Linked DNA regions of Oryzias latipes. The protein of the gene in region 2 purifies or fractionates together with the protein of the main gene of each other region. This does not show direct contact. Links are inferred from orthologs where the notes say so. Each region holds a gene or a part of one and is shown on either strand. Other genes may lie near its edges.

What was found.
Region 1: the proteins of acaa2 (region 2) and pgd fractionate together in Homo sapiens (co-fractionation; 3 studies listed by BioGRID). This does not show direct contact. The link is inferred for Oryzias latipes from reciprocal best matches to the Homo sapiens genes ACAA2 and PGD.

What each region holds. Positions count from the first base shown.
Region 1 is NC_019865.2:9,837,285-9,841,663, forward strand, and holds the start of pgd (6-phosphogluconate dehydrogenase, decarboxylating), read right to left. Parts: upstream 3,045-4,379; 5' UTR 2,911-3,044; coding exon 2,903-2,910; intron 2,534-2,902; coding exon 2,458-2,533; intron 2,374-2,457; coding exon 2,194-2,373; intron 2,118-2,193; coding exon 2,052-2,117; intron 1,966-2,051; coding exon 1,847-1,965; intron 1,766-1,846; coding exon 1,696-1,765; intron 1,612-1,695; coding exon 1,477-1,611; intron 1,380-1,476; coding exon 1,190-1,379; intron 1-1,189. UniProt on the Homo sapiens protein: Catalyzes the oxidative decarboxylation of 6-phosphogluconate to ribulose 5-phosphate and CO(2), with concomitant reduction of NADP to NADPH.
Region 2 is NC_019867.2:6,251,387-6,255,067, forward strand, and holds the end of acaa2 (3-ketoacyl-CoA thiolase, mitochondrial), read right to left. Parts: coding exon 3,583-3,681; intron 3,489-3,582; coding exon 3,372-3,488; intron 3,277-3,371; coding exon 3,129-3,276; intron 3,016-3,128; coding exon 2,840-3,015; intron 2,477-2,839; coding exon 2,347-2,476; intron 2,219-2,346; coding exon 2,148-2,218; intron 1,530-2,147; coding exon 1,375-1,529; intron 1,290-1,374; coding exon 1,208-1,289; 3' UTR 524-1,207; downstream 1-523. UniProt on the Homo sapiens protein: In the production of energy from fats, this is one of the enzymes that catalyzes the last step of the mitochondrial beta-oxidation pathway, an aerobic process breaking down fatty acids into acetyl-CoA.

The DNA.
Region 1 (4,379 bases), on a different chromosome or scaffold from region 2:
ATGAGGAGGTTGCTCAATCTGCAGCTTTGACAGGGACTAAACAGGCTAAATTCAATCAATTCAATTCCAGATTGAAGCTGTGAGCAGCGCTGTGTGGCGCTCCCCCCATTACCCCCCCCCCCCTTTTTTTAACCTGCCTTCACTGGCTGCTTTACACCCTTTTTAAAAACATTTTATTTTTTTAAATGGCTGATTTTCAGTTGGTTTTAGCTCCATAACAACTATTTTATTGTTTGGTTGCCTGGGGATGGCGAACAGGTCTGTGTAATTTTGTAAAGGATTGGCAAAAGTCAACTTTTGGATTTCCTTGTGTTAACCCCGCTGACAATCCTAATATATTCATATCGTTTTGTTCTGGTGGAGCAAACGATTCACTTATTCAATTTTCATAATATTCTGGCAAAAAGAAACAAACAACAGGGGAGCGCCGCTTTTGTATGCTCGCCATGTTAGGCTTAAATCTACAAACTCAAACTCAAAACCATAGATGATACTACATGTGATATATATATATCATTTTCAAAACTTCCTTTGGATATCCTGACACGTGTGTTTTGGTTCGTTACTTGATTTTAAGCATTTTTTCAGACCCATAAGATATTTTGGCTTATCAATTGCTTTTAATGAAGTTGTTCACCATGTCAAAAAATTTATTTTTGACGGGTAGTAAAAACATGGAAATTCTGGTACGTTTTTTAGGATGTGGTGAGGGCAAAATGTTTGCTCAAAGGCGCAGTTAGAAAGAAAAATTCCTAAAACAATCTGGTCTCTGCAGTCCAGAACTGCTGCGGGGCAATTATTATGTAAGAAAACATCTACAATAAACTTCATGTAAAGCTCTGGTGGACACATGTAACATGAGATGAACAATATTGTTGCTTCTTGTTTGTCCCACACAGAGACTGAAACCAAATCCTTCTTGCGTCACTTAAGATGAGCAGACTATCAGAAAAGCCTTCAATCTTCTTAGACGCTGCACTGAACTGATCACACCTCTGAGACCAAGCTTACCAGCTGCTTTGTTAGCTAACAACAAATCCAATCCCTGACTAACTGTGAAACCCAAACGGGCGTGACTTATTGTATTTGGGAATCTGGATCATAAATGCAGCTGTCACTGAAAGAAGACAGAAGAAAAAGAAAAAAAAAAAGCTACTTCCTTGTCTACAGCTGCATTCCTTCCTCTTACCAATCAAAGTGACGGGCGTGCCGTATTCCAGGGCAGAAATGGCCGTCCACTTCCCTGTTCCTTTCTGTCCGGCACTGTCTCTGATCTTCGGCAGCAGGTGTTTGCCATCGCTGTCCCTGTATTTGAGGATGTTTGCGGTGATCTCAATGAGGAAGGAGTCCAGCTCTGTCTTGTTCCAGCTCTCAAATGCCTGGTTGTGTTAACATTTGAAGATGAAATTCAGTTAGTCGCGCTGCTCCACTTGGATTTTTATTTTTTTTACCTTGGTGGAGGGGGGTCACACTCACCTGTCCCATCTCATCGTGATCCATCCCCAGAACATCCTTCATTAGGTGGTAGGCCTCACAGATCAGCTGCATGTCTCCATACTCAATGCCATTGTGGACCATTTTCACAAAATGCCCCGCACCCTCATCTCCAACCTGCCCCGGAATCAAACAGTCCTGAAACTTGTCGAGGTATCAAACTAGCCTTTTCATCAAAATCAGCAAAGCTTTAGCACTGACCCAGTCACAGCAAGGCTCTCCTGTCCCAACTTTAGCAGAAATGCTCTGGAAGATGTCCTTAATGTGGGGCCTTAAAGAATATACAAGTAGATAGTCAGACATGAAGTTATTCCAACCTTGTTTTTATTTCACACAATTATCCATGATGTACCAGGCCTCTTTATGTCCTCCTGGCATGAGTGAGGGTCCGTAACGTGCGCCCTCCTCGCCACCACTCACTCCACTGCCGACAAACAACAAGCCTTTCTCTTTTAGACTCTGACACCGCCGCTGGGTGACAAAAACAAAGCAAAACTGTGGAGACAACCTCAGGAAAAAGATTTTAAACACCAAACCGTGGCTCTCAAAAGGCTTACTGTTGTGTCTCTGTATTCAGAGTTGCCACCATCGATGATGATGTCGCCAGCATCCAGAAGTGGAACCTGAGAAATAAAAGAAATGTTTGAAATCTGCACATCTACACGTTTGGGTTTCCTAAAACTGGTACAACCCACTGACCAGCTTGTCTATGAAGTCGTCCACCGCTTGTCCAGCCTTGACCAGCAGGATGATCCTCCTGGGCTTCTTCAGCTTGGACACCATGTCTTCCAGGGACTCGGCTCCGACCACCTTGGAGCCTTTAGCCTCATTATTTAGGAAGTCGTGCACTTTGGACACGGTACGGTTGTAGGCGCAAACCTACAACAGAGATTTGACAGACTGAAAAGAAATCTTCTTTCTTCACCAAGGAAGATGGGAAAACATAGGAAGCCATGGTCTTACCACAAAACCATGGTCATTCATGTTCATGATGAGGTTCTGGCCCATGACAGCCAGGCCAATCAGAGCAATGTCAGCCCTGTGAAACCAGGAGCGAGCACGTTTACTGTCAGGACTCAAAACTCTGACTACAAAAGCGTTCTAAAGATTAGGCACACAGCCGTACATGCTAAAGTATTCATAATTGAATCTACTTTAAAAATGTACTTCATTTCCCAGAATCCATAGCGACTACATCGATATTTCTTTTTCTTAGGGGGGTTAAATGGAAATAGAATGAATTAACTATATACTTCGTTAAAAAACAATTTAGTTATGTAATAATAATACAACAAAGTTATTGTAGTTATAACTCCAGAGGCCTACAAACTGACAAACGGCCGTTTAAAACGCTACCACCCCCACGTCTATAGCATATATTCAAAATAGAAAACTCGAATAAACTTACTCAGCCATCGCGTTTGGGTGAAGAAACAGTCGATAAAATGTCTTAAACTGACAGTCAGACAGGTTATACGCTTAACACTCTTCTTCAGATTCGCTCTTCTTCCTGGTTCTTCTCCATCTAACTTCACTGAAAAGCCAAAGCACGCCCATCTCCCTCCAACTTCCAATCATAAAGCGCGTTGATTACCGATGCAACGTCGTTTGTAGCTTTTGATTGGTCAGAAACTCTGGGCAGAGAAATGGGTGGTTCCTATTGGTTGCTTTTGATGGTCACTCACGTTAGGTAATCCCACAGTGTACTCCCTGCCCCCGGTGTGGAAATTCGGTTAAAAACATTAAATAAATCAGGCTCCAAGTTACACACACAATGATAGTTTGAATCAATGGTTTTTTGACAATGAATTGCAACTAAATTAAGCTTTAACCGGCACATGGGAAGTCTTAACACACTCCTCATTTCCAATGGCCACCAAAGTAGTTTGTCTAATCCTGTCAAGTAAAATTCCCACCAGAAATTTTCTTCTACCTCTTGGGGATTCACGTCAGGTTACTGATGTTCACTCCAGTATGTCCCAGGATTTGCCCCCTATATAATCTTTTATGGAATGTGAGAAATTTCAGGGATCAATGTCCTTATAAAGCGTTGAAGTCCTGTTACATCAAATCTTTATCTAGAAAAATCTCTCTCTAGATAACACAAACAGTGAAATAGAAACACACCAAAATAAAAAAAAATGAAGCAAATTTGCCTATTGTTTAATGCAAAGTTAACTGAGCTGTAAAAAAAAGTTTGGGTTCGAAACCAACTGCAGGTATTATTTTTTTCTGTACATTTCATGTTTTTAAAATATAGCCGTCTTATTTAGAGTTAGCATTTAGTTGACAGTTGTACATCTATAAGCATTTGCTGCATCATGAATGCACGCACGAGAATACAAAACAAAATTAGAATTAAACCAACTTGTTTCCATTTCACCATCTTAATACGACCTACACATTTTCACTCTTAAAATAAAACTTTCAAACTGCAAGAAAATAGTCTGGAAAATGGGAGCAAAAGCCCAAATGAGGTGCGTGCTCTGAAGCCAAGTAGCTGCTTTATAAATACATGTATTAAAGTTGATCAATGTTGACGCTATTTATCACAAATCCTCTGGTGACCCATGTTACTTCTCATTAGTATGAGGAAACGAGGAGAATGAGTGTAAAGCAGAGTCTCTTAGGTATATTTGTCAAAGAACAGAAGAAAAAAAACACTGTAAAATGACAATTTAAAAAAAAATGTTCATGGCTTGTTTTAAAACAACTGTCAGTCCTTTAAATTATATCTGAAAATGTATTTAGAAAAAAATGAAAAAAGCTGTTTGGTTTGGTGTGCTCTGAAGCAGGAGCATCTAATGGACAGCAGGAAGCTGTAACTTGTCAAAACATGCTGGCATCACTAAAGCACGCCACAAAGGAGAGGACAAACGGGCATC
Region 2 (3,681 bases):
TACACATAGTAACATTTAACACCAACATTTTCACTTACTTCACTTTCTTGTTCAGCTTCCGATTCATACTCCTGTATTCCTCCTTCTCTCAGCAGTGTGTGTAGCAAAAGCCAATCGACGTCTGGTGTGCGTACAGCAAACTGACCCCAGATCTGTTGTGGCGTTACTTTCGTGGCGATGTCACTTCCACTAAGGCTTTCCTTTTATTTGCAACCGTTTTCGTAGATGCATCGCTTTTTTTATGTTTGCATTTTTTTTCTTTTTTTGGCACCACTTTTTTTTTAAATTTTTTGCTGTCATGGCTGTTATTACTTGCAGCGTTTATTTTTTATTTGCATTTCATTTTCTTTTTGTTTGCAATTGCTTTTTTCTTTTTGCTCATCTTTTTTTTTCTGCAATGGCGGTTCTGGGCCACCGTACTACGAAGATAAATCTGGAGGAACACAATTGAACTAATAAATATGATTGTACAATTAAAATATGTACAATTAAAATAATAAAAAAAAACATTAACGAGTAAAAGTAATTTTTGAGAAATTTTATTTGTGATACTTTAACACTGAAGTACAAAATCAGTTACCACAGAAAGCCACTAAAGGCAACACCAAATCCTGAACATGGAGCGAGTAAGGCAAACAGTCTGTGATAATATATTACTTGCCATCATGATCAGGAAGTAATCAATGTTTGTAAGCAGAAATAACCTCTTCCATCATTATGACAATCAGAAACTTGATTTTCTTTATTAGCTCAAGTTATGAGAACGATTGAAGATGTGAAATTTTCCATCTAACGATTTTCTAGACAAGCTTCATTCTATTGAGGGTCATGGGAACCTGCTAAAGGTCATCTCAGGTTTTTAGCAGGTGAGAAGTGCGATACACACTTCAGGCCATGAGTTCATCACAAGGAACACAAAAGCAAAACATTCTCAATCCAAAGGGCAATTTGGAGTCATTACTTTAGCTAACATGCATAAATGAACCTGTATTTATATCTATCGACTGGACTGAAGAGGAGTACTTAAAGAAAATGATAGCAACACGTTTTGGAGCTCATCCAGTCAGTGACTCTCTGGGAAACAATTCAAATATTTTTTCTTCTCTTGGTTGGAACCAAGAGGTTTTTCCTTGTTAGAACATTAGTAGCCGGTGAGTTTGCATGACATTGTTTCAGGAGATTCCATGAGCAAAGGCAGTTTCTTCTGTCAACACCTCTCGAGGATGATGGCGATGCCCTGACCTCCACCGATACAGGCAGATCCAACGGCGTATTTTCCACCTCTACGCCTGTGACAAACAAAGGCCGATGAGTAGTGGCACCCTTTTCTTGTACACATATCAATGCACACAAACAATAGCAGCATATATTTACCTGAGTTCGTGCACAAGGTGGCCAGTGATGCGAGCTCCAGAGGCACCGAGAGGATGCCCGATCGCAATAGCTCCGCCATTTACATTGGTTTTCTCTGGGTCCAGCCCAAGAGCCTTTGAAACAGCCAGAAACTGGGGAGCAAACGCTTCATTCACCTGAAAGCAGCACACAAGCACGTAACTGAAGATGCAATGACTAAAAGCAAAGGCAGAAAATGGCGTGTCCCTGTAACCACTTTACTTTAACCGCTTTATTCTGTCCTTAATTGCAAGGACAGTATTATTTTAGCAATTGAGCCAAATATTTTGCCCCTGCCACAAACTCACCAAAATTTGCATGTACCTAATATCTGATGAAATTGAAAGTCATCAACCCCTACAATGATGACATCGCAACCAGTGAAACCTTCAAAAACAAAAAGACTGGGGCCAAAATTTTCTTATGAGGGAAAAAAAAAAATATTCAAAAACCCCCCACATTTGTGTCGCGAATATCCAAAGGACGTTTAAAAATTGTTATGTTATGGCAACAGGACCTGCTGCTTGGTGGCCATGTTGTGGTAAAGTGTGAGATCTGAAGATTTTCACATTTTCTCACCGATTTTCAAAAAATTTCACATGCAGCGTGCATGTGAAATTTACATGCATTTAGTTCAAATCTACAACCAAAATCAAAGTTTTGTTCACCTTTGACATCAGGAAGAGGCTACCATTTTTAATTAAAAACATTTAAAAAAGAAAATTAACCCTGTTGTCATATCTTAAAATACTAACCTCCACCAGATCCATGTCATTTAGAGACAGACCAGATTTCTTAAGAGCTCCTGTAATCGCTGGGACTGGACCTGAAATGACACCAAGAAATCCAAATTTATCATTCTAATATAAAGATGTTTAGGTTTATTCAGGTTCATTCCTTTCTATCAACCCAGATGGCTTCAAATAACATCTCTCTGGGAGCAGTGTCACTTACCGATACCCATAATGCTCGGGTCACAGCCTGACACATGATAAGCCACAATTCTGGCGAGCGGCGTGAGCTTGTGTTCTTTCAGAGCATCATCACTTGCAATCACCAGAGCAGCAGCACCATCAGACACCCCCTGGAGAGCAATAGACTCACATTTAGGGATATTTGATTTCTTTTTTGCTACTGAAGTAAAAAGGTCTGCTCCTACTTTTATTAGAACTAAACCTACATCCATTTTTTGTAAAGTAGAAGTGACAGGTTATTATTACATTTCACAAAAATCAGATTAATTTCATTCATATGTTTGTCACCACTAAAAGTAATATTTTCAAAATAAATACAGAGCAAAAAATAAAAAAAACTTTGAGCTTTTTGTGAGCTAAAAATATATAGATAAACATATTTTTTACAACATCCAAAGGCCTGGAAATGCTGTTATTAAAGAATTATTTGGGTTTTTTCTATTAGGTTACAATCGGAGGGTTCACGAACGGACCGATGCATTTCCAGCAGTGACGGTTCCCCCCTTTTTGAAGACTGACGGCAGTTTGGCCATTTGTTCTGGTGTGGTTTGAGGCCGCGGGTGTTCATCCTGAGCCATGGGAACCTTTCCTTTTTTTGTTTTTATGTCAACGGGGGCAATTTCAGCTGTGAAGTGACCCCCTTCGTGAGCTGTAAACAGAGTTTGACCGTCAAGAATTAAAATTCATGATAAATACGCTCCAAGACAAAATATTTTTGCACTTTTCGCTGGAAGGAAGATATCAAAAGTTGCAGTTTCTCACCTGCCTTCCACCTTTGCTGCGTCTGGTAAGCAAATTTGTCGCAGTCCTCTCGTGTGATCTCGTATTTTTCTGCCAGATTCTCTGCTGTGATTCCCATTGGTATCTTTACATGCAGGTCAGTCAGACCCGCCCACAAGGTGTCCTCCAGCTGTCAGAGATTTCATCTTAGTGTCTTCCTCTAAACTGCAAGTTTTTTTCTTTCTGCACATCCCATGTTTTCAGAGACAACATACAAAGACAAACCTTAAGATCAAGTCCAAACTTTGTTCCAAAGCGAATGTTGCGAACAGCATAGGGAGCCTGGCTCATGCTCTCTGAACCTCCACACAAAACCACCTCTGACTCTCTGAGGCAGATCTCCTGCAAACACACAAGGCATTTGAATAAGAAGCAACTTTCAAACTCAAGGTTCAATTAAATGGAATTCATGTTAGGATTTTAAAAGCCAGCTTACATGAGTACCATTGATGATAGACTGGAAGCCAGACCCACACAGTCTGTTCACAGTGAGAGCAGGCACGGGGATGGGAACGCCACACCTCAGGCCGACATG